Linked DNA regions of Tamandua tetradactyla. The main gene of each other region encodes a partner of the protein of the gene in region 3 in a complex. Links are inferred from orthologs where the notes say so. Each region holds a gene or a part of one and is shown on either strand. Other genes may lie near its edges. The genes, in order: NCKAP1, WASF2 and ABI1.

The links.
Region 1: ABI1 (region 3) and NCKAP1 share a complex: the UniProt entries of both Homo sapiens proteins name them as parts of the WAVE2 complex. The link is inferred for Tamandua tetradactyla from reciprocal best matches to the Homo sapiens genes ABI1 and NCKAP1.
Region 2: ABI1 (region 3) and WASF2 share a complex: the UniProt entries of both Homo sapiens proteins name them as parts of the WAVE2 complex. The link is inferred for Tamandua tetradactyla from reciprocal best matches to the Homo sapiens genes ABI1 and WASF2.

The regions. Positions count from the first base shown.
Region 1 is NC_135329.1:155,921,832-155,932,653, forward strand, and holds the start of NCKAP1 (nck-associated protein 1), read right to left. Parts: upstream 4,137-10,822; 5' UTR 3,775-4,136; coding exon 3,667-3,774; intron 1-3,666. UniProt on the Homo sapiens protein: Part of the WAVE complex that regulates lamellipodia formation. The WAVE complex regulates actin filament reorganization via its interaction with the Arp2/3 complex. Actin remodeling activity is regulated by RAC1.
Region 2 is NC_135328.1:198,768,577-198,778,698, forward strand, and holds the start of WASF2 (actin-binding protein WASF2), read left to right. Parts: upstream 1-5,453; 5' UTR 5,454-5,622; intron 5,623-10,122. UniProt on the Homo sapiens protein: Downstream effector molecule involved in the transmission of signals from tyrosine kinase receptors and small GTPases to the actin cytoskeleton. Promotes formation of actin filaments. Part of the WAVE complex that regulates lamellipodia formation.
Region 3 is NC_135327.1:223,995,382-224,005,582, reverse strand, and holds the start of ABI1 (abl interactor 1), read right to left. Parts: upstream 4,090-10,201; 5' UTR 3,931-4,089; coding exon 3,814-3,930; intron 1-3,813. UniProt on the Homo sapiens protein: May act in negative regulation of cell growth and transformation by interacting with nonreceptor tyrosine kinases ABL1 and/or ABL2. May play a role in regulation of EGF-induced Erk pathway activation. Involved in cytoskeletal reorganization and EGFR signaling.

The DNA.
Region 1 (10,822 bases), on a different chromosome or scaffold from region 3:
CTCATGCTGGTGATGGTACAGGAAAAGAAAGGAGACAGAAAAAAAGGGAAGACTAAATGGTACAGAAGAAATATTTTTAAATTCAGCAAAATATTTTGTTTTGGGATTTGGGAGTTTAACAGCAGCAAAATTTCAGAGAAATAAATGTTGCCTCCCCAAAAAAGCTGCTCAGGCACCTAAATAAATTCTATCTTACAATCTTAACAGTTTTAAACTATTTTCACATTTATTATTGCCTTTTATTTTCACAAACAAACCTGTAAAGGAGGGAAAAAAATTCCTATTTTACAGAAAATTATACTGAACCCAGTTACTGTGTAAAATGAGCCATAACTTCTACTTATTACTTCACCATGAACTTCTAAAGATAAAATAATAAGAGCCAAAAAAGACTTTAGTGCACCTATTAAAATTAATTTCCCCCATTTTACAGATGAGGCAAAGCAAAGCTCAAGAAAGCCAAGTCACTGACCCAAGGTTAAAAAATTCTCAGTGACCAAATGAAGATTGGAATGCAAGTCTCCTAACTCCTGGCAAAGTCCCAGCGCTCTTAACTGCCTGCCATACCACAAGTAACAGATATAAACGTAGCCTGAAGATAGTTGAAAATCATCACTACATATGAGTAACATGTCTAGAAAGGGAGAAGGTATTTATTTTTAATAAAAATTAAAACTTTTAGGAATTAAGGAACAAATAAATTTAAGTTAAAACTGTTGGGTGGGCGAGACCCGGGTTTGATTCCCGGTGCCGGGACTATGCAAAAAAAAAAAAACTGTCTACTCCCTTCATGACTCTTCTCTAAAATCCTTCTGTACAGTCTTCTCACATTCCCAGTTAGATTACATATTCCTTTAAAATTCCCAAAACTGGTACATATTAAGATATCAAAAATTTTTTTGACTGATGAAATTCTCTTTAAAAAGTTTTTAGTGGCCTTATGTTCCCCTTATAAATGTGAAAGCATGTTATTATTTACTAATTGAAGAAGAGAGTTACTTAGGTCACTGAAGTATTTTCATTGTACATACTCACTAAAATATAATTTCCAGAGCAACTTCCAATTGAAACAGGATAATAAGATCTCATACACAATTTAATGAATAAATACATTAATGAAAACGTTGACAATTAATTTGCAGATATATATTATGAGGTACAGTTTTTTTTTCAAGGGCTATAAACTTGTGATTGAAAAAATTACGTAGTTATAGTATCAGTAAGATTGCAGACAGCATGCACCTTATAAACACATGACGAACAGATCTTATTCACTCTTTTGGCAAGATTTTTGAACAAATGTTTCAATCCCTGCCAAGTTCTTGGGGTCTAGCTTACTCTAGAGTCTAAAAGATCAAAAATATAGATGATGCTTTGTTCGAAAAATTATACAAGAGCAAACAGAGCTCCAATTAAAATTGGAGCAAGGTATATATTTTTGTTGTTGTATTAATTCATTTCAACAAGGCCTTACTGAAGGCCTCATGCACCATTGCTGGTTAAGGCCCTAAGTACTAGTAATTCAAAGATGAATAACACTGTCCCTCCCCAGAGAGATCGATTATGAGGGAACGTACAATCAGATAAACTGATAAAATATTTTCCAACTATAAATGTGTTAAGTGCTGAAATATTTGTAACTTAATAATAATGATCACATTCAACTCATTTTAAATTTCACTAGTTCAACAATAAGAGAACCCGAAAAGTTTTCACTTCTCAAAACAGGAAGTGAAAAAAAAAATACTGCTTTTGAGAAAAGGCAGCGAACTGTCTTCTGGGATTATAATTGAGTTCAGATACTTAGAATTCAGTAGAATCTTACTTAATTTATGTAGGTGGAGTACGTCAAGTTTCGTTGCATTTACAGAGTAAAGATGTTTAATGAATGCTTACAAAACGGTATTTTGCCAAAACACCCTAATCACTTTTGATGTTACTCTCACTTCCTCTTCACAAAACCATCATAACCATTTCCTTTAACCACAATACCACAAGTCTAGCAACTTTCAGTAATGTTTGATTTGCCAGTTTTTTGGACAAAGTTCATATAGAAACCAATTTCGAATTTGTTCTAAGAGCATAATCTCATAAAAAGTTCAGGTCAATGCAACCTTTGAGTAAGATAAGTAATGTTATCTAAAATAAAATTATTTCTAACCTATATAAATTTATAACCAAAGCATCTTAGTAAATATGGAAGTCTTCCTTGTAGTGACAGTTTCTGCCACATAAAATGTAACAAATTGCACAGGCATGTTGCAGTTATAATCCAGATTGCACAGGATTTAGAGTCAATCTTTGCATCCACGTAAGCAACTGGAGGAGCAGTTAGAATTTATCATTAGGAAGCCAGGGAAGTCTACCCTTTTAGAATTATGGTGTCTACATCAAATTGTAGAAATAAATCATTTTTATGCTTGAACTCCACAATAAGAATTTTCAACATATAATCTTTTTGCAGCAGCCCTAACTCGCAAGCATAACAATTCTATTGCTTATTGCTATGATTAAACTAAAACGGAAAATTCCTGATCTATTAAAAAGCCAACAAAAATAATCAAGAAGATATAACACGAAACGTACTTAGGAAATTAAAAAGATTTAGATTGTACACAAAATCTCTAATTTTCAATCAAATTCTTAAAACGTGCCAACCTTTCCTCAAAAGAAAAAAAATTTCTTAAAAAGGAAAGGCTTCCTAAAATAATGAATGTAATCTTTGTTCTATCTTTACATCTGTTTGTCTTAACTATAACTCAGCCTTTTATTCCTTAATCTGCTGAAGACATGTAAATAGTTTCGGTGGGTCTATTAGCTATATTCACTCACATTATCAGAATGTTATAATTCAGCAGTAATAGCAACTTATTTGCGGTTTTTATTTTGCACTGACACCGAACTTTAAAGAACAGTGTTTTAGTAACGTCAAACCGGGTTGGGAAAACTAAAATGAGGAGGAGTAAAGTGGGAGGGGAGAAAAGGTTGTTATTCCTGTTCTTGTGACTCACAGCCCAGAAGTATTTTAGAAGAAAATTTGTTCCACCCTCACCTACCCCTCCTCTGCACTTCAAAAAATGAAATAATGCCAACTTGTCAATACCCTCTCTAAAAGCTTTTACTTGGCAATCCAGAATAAAGTGGCAGAGTGGAGGGGTGGCGGGTCATCCTGATTAGCCATTCCCTTCCCACATTCCCACACACCAAATAAACACTCTCTGAGAGGTGGGGTGTAATCCCATTTGCGCTACCATCTTCGCCAGATACCTACCATTCAGCCTCAGTTACACAACGCCGAAGTTTCCCAATCCCCCTAAAATCTCGCCCACCCAGAGGGCTCTTCTTCCTGTTGACCCCGTCGCAGGGGCGGAGGCGCGCAAGAGCCGGGGGCAGCGGAGCCCGGGAACGCAGTGCCGGGCCGGCGCCGGATCTCGCTGCTGTGAACCGGGAAATGGCTTCTCTTTGCCTACGGTCAGCCCATGAGCTACCGGGAAGGCTCCCGGGACTCCGCAATAGGCCGCGGCGCATCCCGGCGACTCCCGGCCAGGCCTGACGCCGCGATGCCGAGATTTCTGCCCAAGGCGCCGCCCGCCGCCCCCACCTCCCCGGGCCTCCCCTGCCATCCCTCCTGTCCCGCCCGCCGCGGCCTCTTCGGCCCGTGCGCACCTTCTTGATGTTGTAGAGGCGGGTGAGCATGCCGACGCCCCGGTCGTTCAGAATGGTGAGCTTCTCCGCCAGCTTCTGCTGACTGGGCTGCAGCACGGAGCGCGACATCGTGGTGGTACCGCCGCCGCCGGCCGCCTAGCGCCCAGTCACCGGCCCGCGGCCTCCGCAGCTCCCGCTCTCGGGCCTCCTCCCCTCCCGCCCGCGACCTCCGCCTCAAGGGAGCGCGCCCATGGCCCTCGCGCCCCAATCTCGCGCCGGCGACAGAACGAGCCGCGGTTGACGCCTCGGGGCCCCCTTCTCCCGCAGCAGCCCTCGCCCTGGTTGCCTCTGGCTTTCCGCCGGTCGCCCTTCCGTCCCCACCCCCCTGTGCTCTCCGTCCCAGCCCCCACCGAGCCGCCTTCCCCTGCTCCTCCACTAGGTGTGGCGGCGACGGCGGCGTCTCCCGCGGCTGAGAACGAGGCCGTTTCCCGCAGCCCCAGACCAGCGCTCGGTCACCTGATCCGGCGCGCCGGCGCCCCCGCGAGGCTGGACGGGGAACAGCGCCCAGCGGACACTGGCCCTCCCCTCCCGGCCTCGCCGCCGCTGCTCGGATTCCGGACCAGGACCAGGGCCGAACCCGGACCCCTGCCTCTTCCCTATTCCGGGAAGGGAGTCCTAAGTGGGGACCGAAGTTTCTTCGCGCCGCACACCCTTCTTAAAGTTCCCAAAGTGGCAGCAAAAGTTGCGTTTCCGTGCCCCCCCCCCTCTTCCAGGCCAAATAAACCGACAGAAGCACCGAGGGTGGGGAGTGATGTATTTTTCAGGCTAGTTTTTCCTGAGAGTGGGCTGGTGGTTCCAAGCGCCTTTCCTCCCACTGCTTGACAGACGCTCCCCGCAGAACACAGCAGATGTTGTGCTCCGCGAGGCGAGCATTGCCTCTCCAAGCTCCCCATCCCGTTCTTACTTCTCGGCCTTAAGCCAGTTTATGCGGGAGGACGGCGGAAATGGGGGCAACTCAAGTTCCTGAGATAATCAGAATCTAGAGTTTGTCGAAAGGGAGCACCCATCCGGAGAAGCTAATAGAGAGGCTCTGGTACGTGGGAGGCACAGAATAAACGCTTGTTCAATGAATGTAGGAACGCTCCCAGTTTTTTCCCGGCCTGCACCACAAATCCCACCCGTTTTTTGGGAAACATTCTTCTCAGCCATACTCCAACGCCACTCCTTCGGTCAATATATTAGATATGGTTCCAAAAGTGAACGAATCATAGGCTTATATAATTGATTGAAGTGGGGAATTCCACCCAAGAGAACTCAAACCGCTTTGATATTTTTGGCCCTACCTTCTTTCAATGTGTTAGTCTTTTAGATTACGTTTATATTCATTAACTTTAAGTCAATGACAAAATGTTCTGCCACCTTCAATAAAAGGCATTCTATGAATAAATAAGCTATCTTTGAATTGTTAAAACACCTTATGAAAAGGAAATTGAAACGAATAGCTTTTAAAACATTTTTTAAAGCTAGTATATCAACTATTCCTATGGAAATCTGCATTTTACTATCCCAGCAAGAGAGACTGGACTAAATGGGTGATTTAAGGGGCATTGAAAAGAACCCTACACTTACCAAATACAAAAATCTTTATGTAATACCTGCCATTGTGCTTGAAATTTTATGCTGTACTTACAGATGTACTATCTTGAAAAAAGACTTTGTATCTAAAAAGTCCTTTTTTCTTTTTATTTTTAAATACAATCACCTCAGAAGGGTCATCTATTGAGCTGTAATCTGTCATAAACATATTAAGGGGATTTAATCTCTCTGATTACTTTCCAACCACATAGTTAAGTTTTTAATTTAGCAGAGCCAACAATCTTGAGTGGTAACAGCAGACCTGGGAAGAGGGTCTGCATTGAGTTATTTGTGCCAGCCAGAAAAGAAAATTTTCAGAAAGGGCTGAACTTTGATGAAACATTGTACTCTCAAAAGACACCACAAAGTTAGCCAGAGGCATAATTACAAAGACCCACTTATGAAAGATTATCTCATTTTCTAGTATTTTTTAAGAGCTGCGCAGAGAGAAAATGGCAGAAAATGGTTTCTTATTCCTCAAGAAACGCCTCTATCATGTTTCAATATGAACATGAACACACTTGTAGCTGTTTATAACTCCAAGAGTACCCTAAAAAGCAAGAACGCTATTCTCATTATTCAATTTTTATTATAACTAATTGCTAGAAATATTGACCATAGAGTGTTATTGAATATATCTACTTGAGTAAAATTAGATCTAGATGAAATATTTACAATCTTGCATTTCTCTATATAAGGCCCAAGTCCTTTGACATTTGTACATGATCAGTCCTAAGGTTATAATCATATATTTTGCCATATTAATATGATTTTATAGTAGTTGTAATTAGTATATGTCATTTTATGTTTCCTTTTGGTTTTTCAATCTGAAAATGTCATACCACATGAATCAGTCTAGTAAATTTATGAAAAAATTGCTCATGTGGATGTTTTTTCCTGCTCTAGTTTCCTGGAAAAGCATACATTTCTAAAATGATTTAAAACTGAGTTTTAAAAAGCGTGATTATAGCTTTTGTTTCTTTTATCATGCAAAGCATAACCTTCACCATTCCTTTGGTACTAAAGATTTTCAAATAGTTCATTTCAGTTGAGATTTCTGTTCTTTGTCCCAAGAACACATTCAGAGATCATCAAAATTAGTATAAGTCTTTGGAGACATGTAGAAAGTAAATGATAGCTATATTTGAACTAATCCTAGAAAGTTAAATATGAGAGTTAACTACTATAGGCCAGTATGTCTAAAAAGAGGTGAATATTATTGTATGTTAATTATACCTCAATACATCTGATTTTATTATATATCTGTGTTTGAAAAATGATATCTGTCAGCACAAGTACAAAGGTTCCCACTCTAACGACATCAAGAGGATGGGGTTTATAAGAACTTACAATAGAATTACATTATATAGTACCAAATATATTTTACAATTCAATTATAAAACTCTACTCATGTAAAATTTCAGAAAGCAATCTCTTGCCTGCAGTTTTTAATATGCAGTATAAAACATTGTATAAAACATTAAATATTTATAGTAACAATCCTGGATATTTAAAGAACATTTTCTAATTCTATATAATACATTAATCAATACTTAAAATGCACAGAGTACTATGGTAGAAGGAAATATGAAACCAGATCCTTTTGGGGGGGGTGGGGCTATCCTCTGACTCACATTCTGGTAAGTATAGAAATATATATAAAGAAATCTAGTATAAGACAGGTTGAGATACAGGGCTATGAGAGAAGAACCACTAGATAGAGCAGTTTCAATCTGAGGTTTCTAAGAGTCCTATTGGAGTAACTTACATTTGAGCTTGGCCTTGAGAATTCAGCTTCAGCAAATGCAAAATGGTAGGAAAATAACAGGAATGTACATTACATACATGAAAAAAAGGGAAATAAAGCTAGAGAGGGAAGTAGAGCATAAAATGTGTAGGTCTGTAAATGCTAAGGTAGGAGAAATTTTTAATTAAAAAAATACAAGGAAAATGAGAGAACTAAAGGTAACTTTTGGGAAATTGAGGAAGGTAAACTAATTTGAAACAGTTGCTGGCTGTCGCAGGGATTGTTCAGATCTTCTGTACTTTTCTTTAGAAATAGAATAAAAACTACATTTCCCAGCCTCCGTTGCAGCTTAGTGTGTTCATTTGACTAATTTTTTTGACCAATAGAATGTAAGCTTTCAAGAACCTCCCATAAAAGACCGCTGCCGCTCTCCTTTGCCAGTTCTTACCAACTTCAACTGTCACATGAAATGAGGGTTGTAACAACCTATCTGTTATACCCTAAAGACAAGAGCCACTCGCTAAGGAACATCTATGGCAGAACATATAGATGAAAGCTGTGTGTGGGCTTGCCAGAGCAGAGTTGCTGTACTAAACCTAGCTTGTCTAGATCTAGATTTTATGTGTAAGAGAAATAAAGTTCTATTAAGATTCTTTTATTTTGGATTTTTCTATTACTCACAGCCAAATCTGGTCCTAAATAATTATAGTTTCTGTGAAAACAATATCTCTAATAGGAATAAAATAAGGAATAATAATTAAATTTGATATGCACTAAGTGTGCATTAGTGCAAATGCTGCTATTTGAGTTACACTTTCTAGCTTTCCTCTTTCAACAACCCATCTTCATTTACAGGTGAGAAAATGGAAATACATGTAGATTTTTAAATTTTCGTGACTGCACCCATAGAAAATAATATAGCTGGTACTGGATCCTTTGTCAGTCTGACTCCAAAGTTCTTTTTTTTTCAGTGGGAAATTGCCAGTTCTGTTTTTTTTTTTAATTGATAAATCTTAACACATAAACATTGCACACATGGTATACATTCAATGGCCACAATATCATCACATAGTTATGTACTCATCACCATGATCATTTTTTGAACATTTACATCACTCCAAAAAAAGAAATAAAAATTTTAAAAAAAACCATACATACCATACCCCTTATCCCTCCCTCTCATTGACCACTAAGATTTTTTTTCCATCTACCCAATTTATTTTACCCTTTATCCACCCCCCCCCCATTATTTATTTAACCTTCATCCATATTTTTTTACTCAGTCATCCATACCCTGCATAAAAGGAGCAACAGACACAAAGTTTCACAATCCCACAGTCACATTGTAAAAGGTATGTCTTTATACAATCATCTTCAAAAATCTAGGCTACTGGAACACAGCTCTGCAGTTTCAGGTACTTCCCTCCAGTACACCATAAACCAAAAAGGAATATCTATATGATGCATGAGAATAACTTCCAGGATAACTTCTTGACTCTGTTTGAAATCTCTCAGTCACCGAAACTTTATTTTGTCTCATTTCTTTCTTCCCCCTTTTGGTCAGGAAGGCTTTCTCATTCCCGTGATGCTCGGTCCTGGCTCGTCCTGGGATTTCTGTCCCACATAGACAAGGAGATTTTTACACCCCTGGAAGTCATGTCCCACGTAGGGGGGCAGTGAGTTCCCCTGCTGAGTTGGCTTAGAAAGAGAGGCCACATCTGAGCAATGAAAGATGTTCTCTGGGGGTGACCTAGATCTAATTTTCAGTAGGCTTAGCCTATCCTTTGCAAGAATAAGTTTCATAGGGGAGAACCCCAAGATTGAGGGCTCAGCCTATTGATTTGGTTGTCTCCACTGCTTGAGAGAATATCAGAAATTCTCCAAATGGAGAAGTTGAATATTTCCTCCTTTCTCCCCAGTGCCCCAAGGGGATTTTGCAAATACTTCTTTATTCACTGCCCAAATTAAACTGGGATCTATTCCGGCATGATGCATGCTCTTAACTGTTGTGGCAGCACTGAAGACCAGGTAAAATTGGATGGCATAAATTTGTAATGCGAATCAATATGATTCTATAGCTCCCTCCAGATTCCCTTAACCCTACCCAGAACTTCATAAATAGTCCTGATAAACCCACTCTCTTAGTTGGCTTTCCTTAACTTTGCTTTCTCCAGAATCTAGATTGAGAAATATTCCCGTAATGCTTTATGATAATAGTGAAGAATGTTTTCATTTGCTTTTTATAAGCACTTAGCCAACCCACCGATCTGGCGCTCCCCTATGGAAGGCAAGAACAAGAAAGAAACAATTGATAAAGGTCATCTCCAAGGAGTCTTAAGATAAAAACTGTTGATTACTTCGTTTCCTGTCAAAGGTAATATTCCACTTATTCTTAAAGACATATGCAACATTTTTCCTCCCATCAGACTTCAAACCAGGTTGCACTAGCTAAGCATAACTATAAATATATGACCAAATTTCTCTTAGGTACAGCTTGTTAATAATGGAATAGACATTATTTTTTTGTCTGCCCTCCAGCCCTTCCTTTAGGAAACTCCTACTTTCTGACAAGTTGAATGCAGAAAGAGAAAAGTTAATCAAATTGTAAAAAGGATTAGACATATATAAGTAGCAAATTGAATGGAGTTTTGTAAGGCCTTCTCATTTCAAAAGTTGTTTTAAAGACTGCATATATTCAGACCATGATATAAACAAAGGAATCAACCTTGGGTGTAGAATTCTGGAAAAGAATGATAGAATATTTTGAAGTTTAGCAGTGGTCATAGAAAGGATAGGCTGTATATTTGTTAAGGCAGTACTTCCATTTCTGTCCTTCTATGTGGCAGAGATCACAAAGTATGAAAAATTTACTCTGCTAAGAATGCTTAAGAAGGAGAATAGAGAAAAGATGGAGCAATAGTATCCCAGTATCTGTACTAGATGATGTGAGAAGTTAAGACTTAGCCAGAGATTGCAATTTGGTATAGCTGAGGAGAAACCAAACAAGCCTCAATGAAACACAAGATCTCTCTAGTCGTTGGGAAAGAGGTGCCAGAAATAGAACTGATCCGAAAAGTTAAAAAAAAAAATGAAAAATTAATTACAACCTTGATCTTGTTTGTTCACATTCAACTAAATATAGCTTATAAGCTGCCAGGACCTTTGGTAACATACTTCACATGTTTGTTTGCTTCTGCTCTGCAAAACTAAGGCAGATTTATCTTTCTTTTTAAAACCATTAAAAGAACTTCAGTTTTGGCACATGGGTGGTTCAGTGGTAGAATGCTTGCCTTCCAAATGGGAGATCTGGGTTCAATTCCTGAACCATGCACCCCAAATAACAAATAAATGAATAAGTTGTTTTTCCTGTGAAAAAATTCCAATGTAATGAACAATTTCAATTTATTATTAGTTTTAATTCTGTCTCAGTTCTTTTCACAGTACAAAGGACTTATGTATATTTCTGTCTTTGTTTAGAAATTTACCATGTTTAGAAGTATACTTAAATAGTGTATGATGAAATATGTATCAGTGTATGGAAACATTTGTCATTCCTTTTGGTTTGATCTTAAGCTTTCTAATAGTAGAATACTATATGCAACATTGCCTAAATCAATGATAGAATAAGATTTGAGTTAGAACCCAGGATAAACTTATGGTAATGTGCAACTTCCAGTTGAACAAGAAAGATTCATTTACAGTTTTACATTTGATCTACTCCAAGGCTGAGCAGTCTTTTCAAACATTGTAAAGAATATTGAATACACTAAACAGGAGCTCAGAGGAGACGCTGAA
Region 2 (10,122 bases), on a different chromosome or scaffold from region 3:
CCCCATACCATAGTGGGTAAGAACTGATTAAGCACCACCTCTTTCTGGCTATGTCCTCTCTCTCAGCCTCAGTTTTCTCATCTATAAAATGGGGAGAGTAGTAGTGTCTACCTCATCAAGAATTAAATAGGCTAATCCATGCCAAGTGCTGAGAACATGCACCTGGGCACTCTGTCATGCCAGGCACTTTCATTCAGCATCTCATTTGTCCTAGTGGCAGCCTGAAAGACAGGGATCCTTGTCCCCTTTGACAAAGAAATGAGGTGAAGGCAGGTTGAGCAGCTTGCTGGGGTCATTCACTGGGTACATGGCAGCAATGGGATTGGAACCCATTTCTCTCCGGCCCCGCTGTGTCCCTCCCCCCCCCCCACCCCTTCTCTGACTGAGGCATTTGCCTGCGGGAGGAGGAGGAGGAGATGGTTTGATGGGAATCGGGAGGCTTCATTGAGCTGGGGCTGCTGCAGCAGAGCGGCAGGCGTTTTTCCAGAGCTTTCATTTCCGTCTGCCTCTTCTGAGCAGGTGAAAAACCCCACAGAGGGCCCTTCACTGAGTCCTCCCCGCTTTCCTCCCCCTCCTCGTGCTGCCTCATCCCCCACGCTGGGAGAGGGGAGGTGAGGCATGCAGTGTGGGGGATGCAGGGGAGGGGAATGAGGAGGTAGGGGAGCGTCACTCTGGATCCTTCCTCTCCAGCAACCCCCCCCCCCCCAATCACCACCACCACTTCCCCATCAAAGGCGCTCTAGGAGGAGAGAGCATTCCAGGTGGAAGGAATGGCAAATGCAAAGGCTATGGATTAAGGATGTGGAGGCGGGGAAAGCCTGCAAGCTTGGCTGGAACCAAGGTTTGGGGCCCCCTGGGATTGCTCAGTGGAAAAGAACTTGTGAGAATGAAGAGAGAGTGAGAGAGAGAGAGAGAGAGAGAGAGAGAGAGAGGAGAGAGAGAGAGAGAGAGAGAGAGAGAGAGAGAGAGAGAGAGAGAGAGAGAGAGAGAGAGAGAGAGAGAGAGAGGAGAGAGAGAGGAGAGAGAGAGAGAGAGAGAGAGAGAGAGAGAGAGAGAGAGAGAGAGAGAGAGGAGAGAGAGAGAGAGAGAGAGAGAGAGAGAGAGAGAGAGAGAGGAGAGAGAGGAGAGAGAGAGAGAGAGAGAGAGAGAGAGAGAGAGAGAGAGAGAGAGAGGAGAGAGAGGAGAGAGAGAGAGAGAGAGAGAGAAAGAGAGAGAGAGAGATCTAGTGGTCCCAGCAAGAGCTAAGGATGCAAAGAGAGAGAGGGTGGTGGGCGACAATCATGGGCTGCAAGCACAGTGCACTCTATCCTTTTCCCCTTAGATTGGGGTGTGGGGGCGCAGCATTGAGAGACTTTCTGTACCCATTGTTTGGTTCTTCCCCCTGGAATGCCTCAGCAGGCTGCACTCAGCCAGCTCTGAACTAGGCGCTGGCTCCTGGCTTTCTGCACATCCTCTCATAGTATTTTCTCTCCAACTCTTTGAAATCAGTATTAGTCACTCCATTTTATAGATGGAGAAACTGAGGCTGAACCAGGTTTACACAGGGTGCCAAAGGCAGAGCTGGGACCTGAAGTCGCCTGCTATCTCGCCTAGGTTGCTTTCCTCCGGAAGGGATCGCCATCCCCATAGCAACAATGAGAGGAACTCCAGCGTGGACTGCATTTCATATTTTATGCAGGCCTAATTTCTTCTGCTCTTCACACCGGACCTGTAGGCAGAGCTGTTATAATCCTTTTTTCATAGATAAGGAAACTGAGGCTCAGAGACGCAGTGTGACTTTGCCAAGATAGAGCCATAAGTGGCAAAGTTGGGATTCAGACCCAGTCTGGTACACCAAATGTCCTTTGCTTCCCCTTGCAGAAGCAGAGGGTCTGGTCTCTGCTCTTACCAGCCTCAGGAATAGGGAACAGGCATTTTTAACAGGCATTTTAACAGGTATTAAAAACAGGTTATTTTTTAAATTTAGTGCAAAAGGAACAGGGCTTGGTCTTGGGAAACTGGGGACTTGCCAGGAGCAGGGAACAATTTCACCTCTAACTCCTTGGATAGAAGAGCAGCAGCAAGTCCTTTCAAGTTTCCTGGTTGGGTTTGAATCCCAACTGTACTTATTCCTGACTGGTTGACTTTAGGCAAGTCACTTAACCTCTCTGTGCCTCTTTTACCTCATCTATAAAATGGGGGATAAGTACAACAAGACAACTTACAGGAAGGCTGTGGGGATTAAATGAATTAAAACATGTAAAGCACTCAGCACACGCCTGCTCCATAATAAATGCTCAATAAATGTTAGTGCCTGTTATTACTATTGATATGCGCTCATCCCTTGAAAACAACTTGTCTATCACCATTGCCTCAAAGGAGAAACTGAGACTCCTGTTGTCAGTCAACCTTCAAAGAAAGCCCGAGATCTTTATTTCCAGGGCAGGTAGTAATTTGATATTAACAATAATAATCATGGGTGGGCCACAGTGGCTCAGCAGAAAAGAATGCTCGCCTGCCATGCCAGAGGACCTGGGTTCGATTCCGGGTGCCTGCCCATGTGAAAAAAAACAACAACAAAAAAACAATAATAATCATTATTAGAGTTAATAGGAGCTTCACATTTATTATATCACTTAATTCTCACAGTTTTGGGAAACAGAAACAATTATTTTTTTATTTTTATTTTTTACATGGGCAGGCACCGGGAATTGAACCCGGGTCCTCGGGCTTGGCAGGCAAGCATTCTTACCTGCTGAGCCACCGTGGCCCGCCCGAAACAGAAACAATTATGATCCCCATTTTATGCATAAGTAAAACGGAGGCTCAAAGAGGCTAAGTCACCTGTCCGAGGTCACACAGCTAGGAAGTAGTGTATCCGGGATTTGAACTGAGGCTTGTCTGGCTCCACAGTCTCTTAAGACAATTAGAGTCAGATGACAACTCATCCAGTGCATAGCTGCCCCACACAGCTTTCTCCCAAATGTATCTGCTGGATCTGCTGCCTCAGGCTCACCTCCCTCCATGCCAGAAAAATTGAGCACTGTTTATGGGCCGGGATGCTTTATACACCTTTCTGCATTCAATCGTTATCCTCACCTTATGACCCGCTATCATTATCTGCATTTCTCAGAAGAGTAGCTGAGGCACAGAAAAATGTGATGATTGCTTAAGGCAACACACTCCTAGGTGGCAGAGTCGAAATTCAGCTCCATGCAGATTTGCCTCAAAGCTGATATTCTTTCAGGGACTCTAAAAGAAGTGCAGAGATCCTTGGAGAATAGCCCAATTTTCAAGGCCAGGTACCCTCATTCTTCAACAATTTGGTGTCCCACAAGGTCTTGTGAGCCCTGCCCCTCCCCACTGCCACCAAGTCCATTGGCCTAGATGCCTTTTCACGTCTAGGCCTGTAACTTCTCCCCACCTGTCTTGTTAACCCCCACTTATCCATTTCACATTAGACATCTCTTCCCAGGGAAGTCTCCTGCCCCATCTCTAGAAGTTCACTTTCATAAGCACATTGTAGTTTGCCTTCTTGCTCCTTATCACGGTTTCTAACTGTATTTTGATTTGTGTGATCATTTGTTCAAAGACTTTCTTCTTCACAAGACTCTAAGCGACATGAGGGTCCAAATCTGTTTTATTCACCATCGTGGCTGCAGCACTGGCAGGCTGCCCTGCATGTTGTTGGTGCTTAATAATTTATTGAACAAATGCATCCACGAATGAATATATAACTACGGGGCACTTGACACACACGGCTCATTGATTTCACAGTTAACTCATTTAACCTCACAAGTGCCCTGTTATCCCCACCTTTGAGAAAAAGTTGATGAAGGTCAGTACTGCTTTCTGCAGTAGAACTTGGATTCAATCTCAAGTCAGTCTGACCTCAAAGCCACTGCATACTGCATAGCACCTGCTGTCACCTAGCACCAAACGCCACAGTTAGGATTTAAATAGTCACAGGTAGTCAAACCACACATCCCAGTTGAGCCTGGAGGTCCACAGCACTGGGGCCCTGTCGACACCACACCCTTTTGGCCAGATTTGTCCTTCCAAAGTTTTAGGCTGCTCCCCTTCTCACTCCCTTCTTGGCTTTCTTCATTTTTAGAAAGGGAAAGGGACTAGGGATTACAGCCAAGACAGCCCTTCTGGGAAAAACAATCCTGTGGTGAAAAAAGGCCTGTTGTGCGAGCAGAGAGACCTGGATTTAAGTCTTGGCATGAAGGCTGCCTTGCTGAGGGCACACAATGGGGTCACTGCCCCTCTCAGAGTTTCTGTGTCATTTGGGATACTGCCGGGGCTGCTGAGCGGCCAGTAGTCTTTTACTCTTGATTCCTAGGGTCCCCAATTCTGAAGGTCACTTTTCCCCACAAATCTTGGTGACTGACAATAGCTAGGGCCCAAATCTATGGTGACCAAAGAGGTGTGGGAAATTCTGCCCTCTTTCCCCAAGACCCTTTCTGGAAGGCTAGGGGATGGGGGAGGGAAGTCTTTTTCAGGTGACACGGAGCCTGGGAGAAAAAAAGGAATGGAAGATTAAAGACAAAGAGTTGAGTCTCACTCAGGGCTGTTTCCAATTCCCTAGGGGACCCTTGGCATGTCAAAATATCCCCAGACTAGGTTTTCTCTTCTACAAAAACGAGGACAATACTTGCCCTACACAGGGTAGCTCTGGAGAACCAACGCAGATATCTTTGCTAACTTGTGAATTTGTCACTTCGTTATCCAGCTGCAGCCTTTTATAATCAATGGACATACACACCCATTTATGCATAAATCCTCAACCATCCCAGGGAGTGAGGCAGGCGTGATTGTTCCTATTTTGCAGAAGGACAAACTGAGACCATGAAGTTCAGGGACTTGTCGGTGGTCACAGAGTGAAGTGGCGACTGAATTGGGTCCAATTCACCTGACCCAATACAAAGGGCCTTTCAGAACCAGCTCCCAGTCCCAGGGGCCCTTGCCTCTCCTACGGCGAAACCTTCCATCGCGGGGTAGAGCCAGTGACTCAACCTCATCCCCACCCTACTTTCGGCCGAGTCTGGACCCGGAGGAAAGGGACAAAACTATCTGCAACTTGAGGGGGAGTACATAGAAAGTTCACGGACTTGGTCCCTTCCTTCCACCCAAAATACTGGTCCTTTAAGCTCTACCAAGAAGAATTAGAATTTCTATACACTTTGTATGAGTTTTTATACGTTCTTACATGGAATTCTCCTACCCTGTATTTAGGAGTTGATTTACTTTAATCTATACTCCCACTTCACTTGGTTTGCTCCCTGCTGTTTACTCCGTTTGCGGAAGTCGCTCGGGTGGAGCTCCCGGGACTCTACCCTTGGGTGCGTCTTTTGCGTATTTATTTAACTGACATTCCACTTAAGCCAATGGACTGCTCCGAAGCCCCAGGAGGGCGGGGCAGAGAACCAATCAGGGCTGTCGGCGGGGTGTGGCTGCGTCCTAGGGCGGGGAATCGCGTAATGGCGGACGCAGGCCGGGCGAGCGCGGCTGGGGGCGTTTCGCGCTGAGGGGGGTCCGGCTGTGTGGCAGGCTGTGAGACGGCCGGCTGAAGCAGACCCTGTGCGGAGACAGGGTGGCTGGCCGACGTTTCTGTCGCTGAGGGCGCCCGCGCGAGGCCAGGTGAGCAACAAGTCCCTTCGGGCGGGCGCCACCATTCCGCGGCACGGCACCCGGCCCATCCTCCGCTCCCGGGAGCGCAGGGTCCGGGAGGAGTGGGTGCCGAGCCTCCTGCTGCGGCCTGGAAGAAACCGGGCGAGCCATCTGCGCCGGGTGACTTCTTACTACACATTCCTCACTTCCAGGGGCCGGAAACTCGGGGTTCCCTTAGGAAACTTGGAGGGGCCCCGGGTCTGTAAGCCTGCGAAAATGCCTGAGCTGGCTCTGCCACTTTCTGTGTGACCTTGGACAAGTCACTTCCTTCTCTGAGTCTACTTTCTCCATTTGCAAGACGGAGGCTTTGTAGGCAGACAGATATACATGGATGTTGTCTGAGATATTGAGCAAGTTCTTCCCCAGGCTGAGCCTACATTTCCATTTCAGGACCAAGAAATATTTCTGGAGCTCCCAGCCTGCTAAGTTGCTGAGTGGTCGAGAGGACATTAAGGTGTGTGTGTGTGTGTGTCTGTGTGTCTGTGTGTCTGTGTGTGTGTGTGTAGGATGGATTGCAGAGTAAAAGAGTGGGCTCAAGCGGTTCCCCCAGCAATGCTCTAGATGCCACACAGAGACCATGATGGAGTGGGACCAGATAGTCTTGGCCCTCCAGAAATCGTACAGCCTTTGAAATGGGGAATTTTTATACAATTGGGTATAGAATCAGAGAAGAGGAAGAGGTTCTTGGACCCTCTTGGAGCTGCGATTTGATCTTATGGCCTAGAAGAAGTTAGGAGGAGGAGAGAGAAGAACATTTATGCTGCTCCTCTTACTATGTGTATGTATTATTTAATTTTTACAGTAACCCTTGAGAATTTACACACGAGGAAACAAAATTTCCGAGAAATTAAGTAACTTACTCAAGGTCACACAGTAAGGTGCAGAGCTTACCAGTGTTAAAGTGTTTCCTCTGAATCACTGGCCAAGGGTAGTCACTGCCCATTTAAAAGATAGTAGTGGGAAAGTTTGCTTTCTCACAGAGGGGGAGGGGTCTGGCCCTGGTGCTTGATTTGACTCCTGGCCTGGAGATTGGCTGGGTGGTGATTCCTAGATGGTTTATTAAAAGTCCGTCCCCTTTCTTCAGTTGTGAAAAGAAAAGGACCATTTCTAAGTTGTATAAGTCACTTTAAAGTGTATCAAAACTCAGAGGGCTCAGTTTGAAACCTGGCCTTGTGGCCTGTAGAAGAAAGTTCACTGGCACTTCATGTACGAACCAAATCCTTTATTCGGGTTGTGCCAGCCCAGTAACTTCCTTTCCTCCTTAAGAAGGCTACATTTTCTTGGGATGGGAGACTTTTCCTCTTTTCCTATTTGTTAGTTCGAATTTCTTTAGATTTGAGGGATGAAAGATTCAATACCCTGCCTCTGATTGAGTATAATGTTTCTTTGTTTTACCTGACTTGTAGGTGAGCAAAGATTGTGAACCTGTGGGAAGTGAGGAGGTGGGGGTAGTTGAGTACCATAAATTGCAGCGTTTAATTTTTACAAACCTCAGAGCTTTTGGTTAATCAAAATGATAGGACCCGCAGTGGGTATTGTTCTCGTATGTCAATGGTGGGGAAGAAAATTGGAAGAGGAAGTTGCTGAGAAAAAGGGCGTTTCTTAGCAGTGAAGCCAATATGTATTTCTTTGTTTGAAATTCTAAAACCAGAAAAGCAGCAACTAAAGGAAGGAAAGAACTATGAAACTTCTCTTCCCCTTCAAATATCTTGACGCGCTGCTTCTGTCAGAGGCTCTGCTTTCACAGAAAAAGTCCATTGTAATTTGTCAACTTTCAGAAATTGAACTCTAGAATGAAATGATTTTAAATCTTAAACCTTCCAAGATAATTTATAAATAAATCAGAACATTTTAATGAGTAAGTTAGTTATTGTAGATGATCCTTTTACTCAGCATAATTACCAGTTCAATCTTTGGCTGTGTTTTTACTGTGATTTAGTCAGATTTCAACCTAAGAGGAAATGATCTAGATATTATATAATGCACATGTTGCCATCACTTGGAAAACAACATAATGGTGTGTTTGGTTTTCGTCATTTATTAAAAGTCCTTTTAATGCTTCATTTTCCAGGGTTGTGTGTGTACAGTAGTTAAGGCCTTGAATTTATTGCATGTAAAGATCTAGGTTCATCCTCAGTATTTGTCATGGTCAGGTTCGTGTGTCAACTTGGCAGCTATACACATCACTTTAAACCAAGTTTAATCTTTAAATAGAAAACTCAGGCTACTCTTTGCTTTTCTCGGATACCTCTACTGTAGAGTGATGTGAACTAGTATTGTTGGAGGATGAAGGATTGTTTCTTCTCTTTAGAGGAAGCCCCATGACAGCATGAACTTGAGGGATTCTTTCCTTAATTCTGGGCCTTAATTCATCTTCCCTCTTGGAGTGACTCCATAGTCCCAGAGAATGGTTCCTTTAAACTGTGTGGGAGGTAGAAGGAGTGTAGAACTGTGTATCAGGAGTTACTGGTGGAGTTGATCTATAGTTGGACTAGGAAATTATTACTATCCAAATTGCCCCAGTTTCTTCTCTTTAACTTCATAAGCCCTGATAATATTGCAAAAGGATTAAATTTAGTTAACTAGAATCCTATTCCAATTTACCCTGGTGTGGCTGGGTAAGCTCTTGAGGACAGGAAGAGTATCTTATATTTCTTTTGTATTCCTTAATGCCCAAAGGCCAGAGCATGAAATTTGTCTTGCATCAGAATTACTTACAGAGCTTTTAAAAAATATACCTATCTGGCCTAGGACCTCTGATATCAGCAATACACAGTCCAGTTGAGAACAATTGACATAAGCACAGTGTAGGTGTTCAGTAAATATTTGTTTAATTTGCCATTGGTCTTGGCATGGGTTGGGTAGGGTGGGAGTTTACCCAGATTTTTCATAAAGTAAAATAGCTTTCTAAGATAACAGCACACATCTAACGGTTGGCAGATCTGGACCCATGGTTGGTGTAGTTCATTGCCGGATATTCTGTCAACATTACCATTCTCAGGCAGGATTGAATGTAGTCTATCAAAAGGCAACTAGAAGTTTTGTTTTCTCCTTGAGTGGTGGCCTTCCTAAGATAATTAGGTTAGCAGTTGTGAAATTGGGGATAAGTAGAAATTCAAGGATTCTTGGTGATTTGTGGGGGGGAGGGAAGTGGGCCAGTGGGCATCAGCCATGCCAAGGGAAGAAATGGAAAGTTGTGATTTGACTGGGTCTCCCCACATTTAGCACAGTGCAAGAACATAATTGGTGCTCTGTAGCTTTTTGTTTACTGAAGAAATGAATGGCTCTTTGTTTGCGAAGAGGCTGTGAAATAAGATGCTTCCTATTCATCCTTGAAAACTGGGCTAAGATGTCGTCTGTGAAGCTTTCCCTGGGAAAAGCTGAGTGACCCTTTTGTATGTTTTCTCCTTTGTTAATGCATTTATCAGTTTGTGAAAGCTGATATTAGACAATCTATAAAACTCCTCCACCTGACTGTGAGCTCTTTAAGGGCAGCACCGTATGGTTCATTTTTGCGTGACCAGTGCCCAGCACGCAGTAAAGACTTAATAAATGCTAATGATGCTTAAATTATGGCCTCTATATTCTGCTTCATTCTTGTGAACTTCTCCCCCAATTTATGGTCTTTCCCTTTCGATTCAGACAAGCAAGCATTTATTCTTCTTCTGAGAATATTAAATTATTATGAGAGAAATAATCATTATTATTTTTCTGAAAGGTAGGTCTTTCTTGGGCCTTTGCATAGGGTTTCTAAACCGTCTTGGTACTGTTGACCTTTTGGGCTACATAATTATGCATTTTCGGGGGCTGGTCTGTAAATTGTAGGACGTTTAGCAGAATCCCTAGTCTCTAGCCACTGGATGCTAGTATACCACTTCCCCAATTGTGACAGACATTGTCAAATGTCTCCTGGGGGGCAAAATTACTCCCTGTTGAAAAATCACAGTATCAAGGGTAGGAGTGATGGGCTAGTAAAGAGAAGTGGGTATAAATGCCTTCAGTTCATTCATTTTCTCCTTTTCTTCCTTCTTTTAGGCTTTACGGTCTCCTGTCTCTGCCTTTTGGATAGGAAAGAAAATGAGGGAAATTAGGAGGTGACAACTTTGAAATAGCCCCATTATTTTTATTCTGTTCAAATTTTATTTTACTAGACTTAAATGTATTAGAGTAGTACAGGTAGCTGAATTATTTATGCAGATCTATGTAAATTCAATTTCTACCACTAATTAAGATTAGATAAAGAACTACTGGAATATTACTATCTTGTAAAGTACTTACTCGGAAAAGCTCATGGCTGAAAAGTTTAACACCTAAGAGAAGCCAGTATTGTTTTTATAGTGAACTTGTTAGACTTGTCAGTATTTTTCCTTGATAATGTTTGAGCTTCTTGGCTAAGATATATCTTTTGATGTTCCTGCATATGCATAGGTACTTTATAACTCTAAAAAAACATGTTTAGCTAATAGGCAT
Region 3 (10,201 bases):
CTGCTCAAAAATTACTTGCCTTGGAAAATCAAATGTGCATAACAAGCAACTGCACATAAGCTAAAGTAATGCTGGGAGGAAAGCAAACTAATCTAAGCAGCTCAATATAGTACATACAATTGGTATCTCCTTTGTACTCCCAGCTTGGAGAAAATACTTGTTATGTATGAAGCTTTTGTTGGTGGAACACCAGCAGAAAAATAAATTTAATTTTAAAAATTAATCTGTATGCGAGACTTTTCCACCCTTACCCAAGCCAGCAAGCTACATCCTGAAAAACCATTCGTAAGCAGTTTCTACTCCTTTTCACTTAACTTCCCTTCCCTTCACTGAGATTATGGACCCTGCAAAAGAGAAGGGGAATTGGCCAAATGAATAAGTGTGTTTGAGTTAAGGAGTGACTGGCTTTGATACAACCCTGCAGGAAATTCAAACTGGTAGTATCAAACAAAAGACAGACAAGGCAAAGACTTTTTCAAATTCATATTTAAAAATCCCCATAAAAACTCTGAAAATCTTGTCCTTTTAAAGACAGTGGACTCTTCAGACATTTTGCTATCAATAATACAATTTAATAAACGTCAACAGAACGCAAAAAGCAAATAAACTGATCCAAGGACTCAACTGCACTATAACCAAAAGAACTTGTCATCTAAACACCTTAGATGAACTGGACTGTACTTCAAAACTGTTGGAAACAACAAAATGAAATCTGAATTCTCAGGATAAAAATCACCCAGGCAATAATTTAATTCAGCTTGGGTACAAAAAATTCTCAAAACACAAACAGCTGCATACTTTCCTTGAGATAAGGTATTCACATAGTATGTTGGTTATAACCCAAACCAAGATCATAGAAGGGATAGAAAAGATCCCAAAGGGTCTCAGATATCCAAAGGATATTTCCAGAATGATTTCTTCCCTAAGCATACCACCTATCACTTCCTAAAGATCCATTTACTTCCACAAAGATAAGGAATTTTCATCATCTTCACCCTGTTCAAGACCCTGTCAGGAAGGCAGACAGTTGATCAAGCAGCTGGGAGGTTTAAATGTGCTACTAAGGTTTAAGGTCATCAATCATTGCTATGTGAATTTCATCTGGTTTGGTTGTTTTTTGGTTGTTGCTTTCCAGTAAAATCAGGATATCTCACTAGTGTCCAGTTTAGAGCCACCAAAAAAAAAAAAACTAGAGGCCTCTAACAGAGGCTCTTGGTACCATGGTACCAATATTTTAAAGAATGAGAGATGAAAAATAACATGATTTATCTAATTTAGGGATATTTCCAAGGAAGTTTACAAGTGCTTCAAAGTTATATGATGGTGGCAGGAGGGGAAAAGGAAAGAGGTCAGGAGAGAGAGAGAGACAGAGAGGAAAGAGGAGAAAAAAGCCTTACAGCATACAAGCATCTGAAAAAGAAAGTCAGCAGACAGGTTAACACACGTCTTCAGCTACTAACAGTTGCCAACATGCAGCAGCAGTTACCACATCATATACTTGTCTGATTTCCCAACATGCAAAACAAAAGGAGCCTCCCCTTCTGTACTTACTTATCTACTACTTTCACTGCTTCTACAGTTGTCTGGGATGGGGATAATTTCATTTTCTGTGCTCTTTGTTTTTCAAAACCTTTAAAATTTTCAGTAAATTAAGGTTCACCTGAATTTTAACGCTTTTAATATTAAGTTGAATAAAAGTTGCATGTTTTTAATATCGATAAGTGACAAAAATCACCTTTCTATTTGCTAATTATATCCACATTACTAGATTTTAAAATGTTTAAGGCTAAATATAAAGTTCGCACAAACAAGTAATACAGTAGGTGGACAAACATGCAACAAGTTTACTTAGAATTACTAAAGTAAGGGTTGAAAAGTTTTATGAAGATAAATTCCTAGCAATACTACTGCAGATACAATGTTACTAATATGGAAATTGTCAAATATTCAAAATATTCTAAAACAGTATCTCCCTCTAAAAATAAAGAAGAAAAATATTTGCCAACACAGAAACATTGGTTCTTAAAAATGATAACCACATGGGAGACACATCTAAAAATACTATAGTTCTGAACTGCAAAAACTCTAACCTTACAGAGTTTTGGTCAACGCCTTAACCAAAAACAAGTGAGTTTCTGGTGCCAATATACTGATACAAAGGACTGCTCTGCTACTTGACTTGCTCCTATTGCAAACTGTCGGTCTACCCAAAGATCTACAAACCTAACTACCACACACATAATTCGCTTCCAATCGTTACAGCAACAACAAACAAAAACTATCTGTCATAGATAAGGTTCCAAGGATTTTCTAATAAATTTTCAAGAATTGATCATTTATGTTGTGGTTCAAAAGCTAAACAAATGTAGTGGGTAATCTATTTGGAGTCATACTGTATACACTGACATAAGCTGAAAAGAGAGCAACCTCAGAAAAGAGAGCAATCGGCAATTAGACCATTCTATTTTAAGTTACTCATGAAGTCAGCCTGAGAACTTTTGGGGAGAGTATTTAAGACCTTTCCCCAAAGCAGTTAAGAATAATCCATGTTTTATCACAATGACAGCCCTAACAATCTCTAAAATACTCAAGGTAGGGCGGAAGTGAAAATGATGAGAAGGGCAAACCAGACCTGAAAACGGACAGGCAGGCAAAGCAAACCATCACTTAAAGGAATTTCAAGATTTACTTCTCTCTAACGTCCTCCCTCACTCCCCACCCCCTCCCTCCACTCCTCGGGAGGTCTGTGTGATGTGACTCATGACAAATTTTTTAAAAATTAAATAAATAAAAGACACACCCTCTGGGTTGAACTGCATAATCGCCCCCACCCGGGTCTGCCGACCCACGCCCCGCCGCTCCTCCCCCGCGCGGCCCCGCGCTCCCCCGCCTCGCCGTCCAGACCCGGTCCCCGCGCAGAGCCGAGGGGCCGAGCCCGCCGGAGGCGGCCGCCCGGGACGCCCGCGCCCTGCTCTCCCTCCCCTTCCTGGGTTTCAACCGCCGCAGCCACTTCCTGTATCGCGGCCCGACTCCCTCAGCCCCGACACTTGCTCTCCCCGGCGGGGCTAGGCAGGGGCAGGGTTGGGGCCGGGGCCGGGGCGATGGCCTGGGGTTAGAGCTAGGGCCAGGATTGGTGTTGCAACTGGGGTTGGGGATGTGGCTGGATTAGAGCTGGGGTTGAGGCTGGGGCTGGAGTCGGGGTTAGAGCTAAGGTTGGGACCAGAGTTGGGGTTGGGGTCTGGGTTGGGAATGGGGCCGGGGCCAGGGTTAGAGCTGGATTCGGGCTGGAGCCAGGGTTGGGATTGGGATTGGCGTTGGGGTTGGGGTTGGGGTTGGGGTTGGGGTTGGACCTGGGGCTGGAAACCGGTTGCAGTTGGGGCCGGGAATGGGACCGGTGCTGGGATTGGGGTTAGGGCTGGGGCTAGGGCTGGGGCTGGGGCTGGGGCTGCGGCTGGGGCTGGGGTTGGGGCTGGGGTTGGGGTTGGGGCTGGGGCTGGGGCTGGGATTGGGGCCGGGCTGGGGCTGAGGTTGGGGCTGGAGCCGAGGTTAACCTGGGGTTGGGGTTGAGGTTGGGGCTGAGGTTGGAGCCAGACACGGGGTTGGGGCTGGAGACCGGTTGCGGTAGGGACCGGGGTAGGAACTGCGGCTGAGGCTGGAGCCGAGGTTAAGCCCGGGGTTGGGGCTGCGGCCGGGCTGGGGCTGGGGCTGGGGGCCACGGCTGAGGTCGGGCAGCTCCCACTCAGCCCAGGGGGCTGGTCACTCGCGGCCGGCGGGGTCCTCGGCCCGACCAGCGCCCGCCCGCGCGCGCCTCACCTGTATGTAGTTGTTCTCACAGTAGTCAGCCACCCGCGTCAGGTTCTGGTAACTCTCTATCAGCGCCCTCTTGCCAGACGGGATCTCCTCGTCTAGTAACATCTGCAGCTCTGCCATTTTCCACCCCTCCGCATCGCTTCCTCTCGCGTTAAAGAGACAGCGGCAGCACGGTCGGCGGAGCTCGGCGCCCCTCGCAGCCCGGATACCGACGGCCTGCCCGCCCTCCCGCCTGGTATTGTGGGACAGCGCCGCCTCCTCTTCCTCCTCGCCCTCTCCACCCCCGCCACTCGCTCCGCGCAGCCTCCCGGACCTCCTGCTCTCGCGATCGTTCAGCGAGCGCAGGCCGCGGGATTTGGTATTTCTTCTTCTGCACCGCCTTCTGGGAATTGTAGTATCTGAGATACGGGCGTCGCGACGGAAGCGCATGCGCCCAGGGCACCTCCGGGAAGGAAGGAGTGGGGCGTCAATCAAGGACGTTGACCTGCGGCGGGGGATTTAGGGCCGGAGGTTGCTATCGCTCCGGGAGATGGCGCCACAGGGTGATTCTGGAGAATAAAACCGTTTCCCAGGGCAGGCTGTGAAACTTTCCTAATTAGGACGTCAGTGAATTTGGAACAAGGATTCTGATTAGGATTAAAAAGGAATAGAATATGGAAAACCCCACATCTTTATCTTCTTAAAGATGACGCTGCGATAAGCAATTGCTTCTGATTGGTTTTGATAAGTTTCCTAAATTCTGTTGCTCTGAGTGAGCTTTCAGTCTAGTCGGATAAAGAAAAATACTGAGAATGGGGCTTTTCCAGGGAGCTCCAGCCAGATAAATGATTGGGCTTTTGGAGGCACTCCAAAACCTGTCTTTCCTCTCCAAGTGGCTGCTAAGCTGCTGGCTTTTCACAGCTGTCGTGATTGTGATGCTGTCGGTTTTCAAGAGGCTGCTGTGGAGCTAGAGGGAGAGAGGGAAGAAAAACAAATGAAAACGCCACAAAACTTGCTGTTCTTACTGAGTTTCAGCTATTTTTCTTGAATAAGTGCTCCTCAGATTGTTGCAAGCTTGTGGTTTTCAGAGTTGTGAAAAAGTTGATTTTGGCAATTTTTGTTGTTTATTGCTTTTATCAGCAAGTTTTTGAGGTCGCTTCTCCACCATTCTGGAAGTCCCTCCCCTTGTTTATTTTAAATCTAACCTCAGCCATCCACCAGCTGTGTGGCCCTAAGTAAATTACATAATCTTGCTAGAACCTATGCCTTCAAAGTAATAAAGGAGGTAACAAAAATACCGTAAAGGATTCAGCACATTTTCAAAGTAACACAATGCATGTAAGCTTTTGTGATGAAAACTTGTTTGCCCTCACAAATCTGTTCTCTCCTTCCTACTGGCCACTAGACCGTCCAGGTAAACTACATTTCTCAACCTTCCTTAGAGGTTCTCTTCCATAAATTCCCACCAATGCAATTGAGGGGAAGGGATGTATGTAATTACGACTTACTGAAATTTCTGCTGAAGTGATAGGTACCCTGGACTTGCCTCCCTGCTTAACATCTCACTAGTTTAAATGACAATTGAACCCAAGCCTTTTTTAAATCAGGCGCATTATAAACTCCTTTATGTACAGGAGTATTCTTTGACAAGTTAAATAAAATGTCCACTGAAGACCTTCCACTGCCAAAACAATTCAGAAAGTCCACTTCAGTTGATGGGATTCAGTCCTTGTCTGTTTACTTTCCCTTAAAAGAATAGATCATTGTTTACTGCACTTTGCTTCTAGATGTATGCCTGTTTCTTTGTGGCAAATTACCAGTATAGGTATCTTATTCCAATCTTCTACACATGATGCAGAAGAATTTTAGACTTAGCTATTCTGAAACTGACCAGTATCATATGTTTTCTCATTTGAGTAAAGAAATCAGTGAGAAATAATGTAAAAAATGTTTCTAAATATTCAATTATAGTATATACTAGTGTTTTCCAAAATGAATCTCTATACCTATGATCAAGAAATCGATATAATGCATCATGACCAGGATTATAAAAAGTAAAAGAGGCAAGAAAATATTAGCGGGCATAACACAACAGTAAGGTAATAATCAATGGAAGTTTTTGTTTTAAATAATAAATGTATAAGAAAACATATTTCGTACTCTGCAACAAAGTCAAAAAAGTTTGTGAAACACCTGGACCACACTCTATCAAGTCTATGTAGATGCTCACATAAAAGCAGCTCTTGGAAGGTCAAGATCGAAAGGAATTAAGTCCTAGCGAATTGTATAAGAGTTTTGAGCAAACAGGGGTAAATTTTGACCTCCTGAATTTTCCCTAATTTTATTTATTTATTTGAATATGTAATACATTCACATGACTGAATATTCAAAAGGCTCAACAAGTAGGCTTTGAAAGGATTTTATCTCACATCGGATCTCCAGCCTCCCAGAGGCAACAGATTTTATCACTTTCTTATAGGCCTTCTAGAGATTATATGTACAAACAGTTTTTTTACTTAAATAGATCACATACTGTTCTGCCTCCTTGTTTTTTTTTTTATTTCTTTAACCACACATTCCTGAGATCGCTGCATATCATATATTAAAATGTCCTCATTGTTCTGGGGGTGTGAAGGTAGTTCAGTGGTAGAATTCTTGCCTGCCATGCCGGAGACCTGGGTCCAATTCCCAGCCCATGCACTTCCCAAACAAAGCAATCAACAAAAATAAAAGTTCAACAAATGGTGCTGCAATAACGGGATACTCACATGGGAAAAGAATGAAATAAAACCCTGCCGTACAGCATACAAAAAAAAAAATTTCCTCATTGTTCTTTCTGGTATTCTTGTAAGTGGATGTATCATAATTATAGAAAGACATTGTTTTCAATCTTTAACTATTTCCACAAACTGCAATGACAAGTTTTCTTTACATGAGGGAAACTAGTTCTTTTAGTTATGAAAATATATTTAAAAGCTATTATAATTAAAAATATTTAGTGATGGGCGGGCCGCGGTGGCTCAGCGGGCAAAGTGCTTGCCTGCTATGCCAGAGGACCTCGGTTCGATTCCCGGCCCCAGCCCATGTAACAAAAACGGAGAAACAAAATACAATAAAACAAGAAAATGTTTAAAAGATGTTTCCCTTTCTTCCTCCCTTCCTGCCTTCTATCCTTCCTTCTCTCTGTCTTTCCTTTAAAAAAAAAAAAAAAAAAAAAAAAAAAAAAAAATATTTAGTGATGACATGAATAGATAAACAGATTTAAAAAAAAGATTAAAAAGTTTAAAAACAGATCCTGAAAATATGGAGGAACCTAGTGCTCCTCCATACATATATATATTTAAATGCAGTTTTATTGAGATATATTCACATACCATATAATCATACCATATTTTTGTTGATTGCTTTGTTTGGGAAGTGCATGGGCTGGGAATTGGACCCAGGTCTCCGGCATGGCAGGCAAGAATTCTACCACTGAACTACCTTCACACCCCCAGAACAATGAGGACATTTTAATATATGATATGCAGCGATCTCAGGAATGTGTGGTTAAAGAAATAAAAAAAAAACAAGGAGGCAGAACAGTATGTGATCTATTTAAGTAAAAAAACTGTTTGTACATATAATCTCTAGAAGGCCTATAAGAAAGTGATAACATCTGTTGCCTCTGGGAGGCTGGAGATCCGATGTGAGATAAAATCCTTTCAAAGCCTACTTGTTGAGCCTTTTGAATATTCAATCATGTGAATGTATTACATATTCAAATAAAATAAATATACAAAATATACAATCAATGGTACCCAGTATCATTTGTGTATTCATCATCACCATCAGTTTTTGAACATTTTCATTACTCCAAAAACAATAAAAAGAATAAAAATAAAAGTGAAAAAGAACACCCAAAACATCCCATACCCTCCCACTCCACCTACTGTTTATTTATTTATTGTATTTATTTTCTTACTCATCTATCTACACACTGAATAAAGGGAGAGTCAGTCACCAGGTTTTCACAATCACATGGTCACACCACAAAAGGTATGTAGTTATACAATCACCTTCAAGCATCAAAGCTACTGGATTACAGTTCAGCAATTTCAGACATTTCCCTCTAGTTACCCCAATACACCAATAACTGAAAAGGGGTATCTATATAAAACATAAGAATAACCTCCAGAATGATCCTTTGACTCTGTTTCAAATCTCTCAGCCACTGAAACTTTATTTTCTTTCATTTCTCTTCCCACTTTTGGTAAGGAAGGCTTTCTCACTCCAATGGTACCAGGGCCAGGCTCATCCCCTGGAATCATGTCCCATGTTGCCAGGGAGATTGACACCCCTGGGAGTCATGTCCCATGTAGGGAGGAGGACAGTGAGCTCACCTGAAGAGCTGGGGTAGAGAAAGTGGCCACATATGAGCAACAAAAGAGGTTCTCTGTGGGTGACTCTTAGGCATAATTATAAGTAAGGTTAGCTTACGTTTGCAGGATTAAGTTTCATAAGGGCAAGCCCCAAGAACAAGAGCTTGGCCTATCAAATTGGTAGACCCCAATGCTTGCAAGAATATCAAGTCTTCCCCCAAGCAGGGAAGTTTAATATTTCCACCTTTTCCCCCAATCTCTCAAGAGGACTTTGTAAATATTTTTTTGTCTTCTGTCCAGATTACTCTGGACAAGGCCTCACACAGACCCGAACAAACAAACAAGATCTCACTCCCAATTCATGGTTCTATGTAATTATTTTATTAGAAGGAGCTAACCCTACAGGTTAAATTAGTTAGCGTGCTACAAAAAAACATAAATTTTGCACCAAATAAACATCCCTTCCTTTGGTCTCACACAGAAGCTGAAGTTTTAAAATACAGTCAATATCATTTTCTACCCTTAGTCTGATTTACCTTAGCCCTAATCAGATCTGCTTCATCCATCTCTCTAATTGAAGTCTGATCTTTTTTCCAGCATTTTTAACAGTTGCTGTGTGGGGTAATGCTGACTTTCATAAATGCAGAACTCTAACTCTGAGTCTGAGATCACACAAATACCCAAATTTCCGGGGAACAACCAGGTTATATACAAAGTGTTCCACATTTCAGAATTTAGAAATAAAAGTTACAACTCAGGCATAAATGTGACTTCTGTAAAACAGTCTAGGAACCTTTACAGTAAGTTTTCCCCTGATCAGCTATGCTCTTGAGTTCAATTCTCAGAGTTTGCACATTATAGTTAGTCCATATTAGTGAGGCATTATACTGCCTGTCTTTTCATTTCTGTCTCATTTCACTCAACTTACTGTCCTCAAGGTTAATTCACCTAGTTGCATGCCTCACAAATTTATTCCTTCTTGCATCTGCTTAATAGTCCATTGTATGTATACACCACAGTTCTCACTTCCTATTTCTGTTAGTTTGCAAGCTGTTGGAATGATATAACAAAACTGGAACAGCTTTTAAAAACAGAAATTTAATAAGTTACAAGTTTACAGTTCTAAGCCTATGGAAATGTCCAATTAAGGCAACAAGAGGTTACCTTCACTCAAGAAAGGCCAATGGGTCAGGAAGCCCTCTGTCAGCTGGGAAGGCACATGGCTGGCATCTGCTGATCCCTTGCTCCTGGGCTCCGTTGTTTTCAGCCTCTGTTTCTGTTGGGGTTCCTCACTTTACTTCTCCAGGGCTGACTTTCATCTCTTGGCTTCCCTTGGCCCTCTCTAGGTTCTAGTTTGCTTAACATCTCATAGCAACGTTTGCTGGGCTCCAACTATCTCCAAATATCCATGTCTCTGTTCTCCACGTGATGCATCGGTGTCATCTCTGCTGTAAAGTTTCTGTCAGTTTTGAAGCTTCTGTCATTTCTGTAGGCTCTGTCTGCTCTGAACTCTCTGCAAAATGTTTCCTCTTTTAAAAACCTTCAGTAAACTAATCAAGACCTACCTGGAATGGGTGGAGTCACATTTCCATCTAATCAAAGATAACATCCACAATTGGATGTGTCTCATCTCCATGGAGATAATTTAATAAAAGTTTCTGCCCTACAATATTGAATTAGGATTAAAAGAAACAGTTGCTCTGACAAGATTGAATCAAGATTAAAACATGGCTTTCCGGGGTACATAATACTTTCAAACCGGCACACTGTTCATCAGTTGATGTACCCTTAAGCCACAATCCACTGTGAGTCATGAATATTGCCATCATAAACACCAGTGTGCAAATGTCCATTTTTGTCTCTGCTTTCAGTTCTTCCATGTATGTACCTGATAACAGGGTTGCAAGATCATATAACAACCTTACAGTTAGCGTCCTGTGGAACCACCACCCTGCCCTCCAGGGGGGCTGCACCAGTCTACCTTCCAACCAACAATGAACAGGAGCATCTCTCTCTCTCCGCATTTTCTCCAGCACTTGCATCTTTCCGTT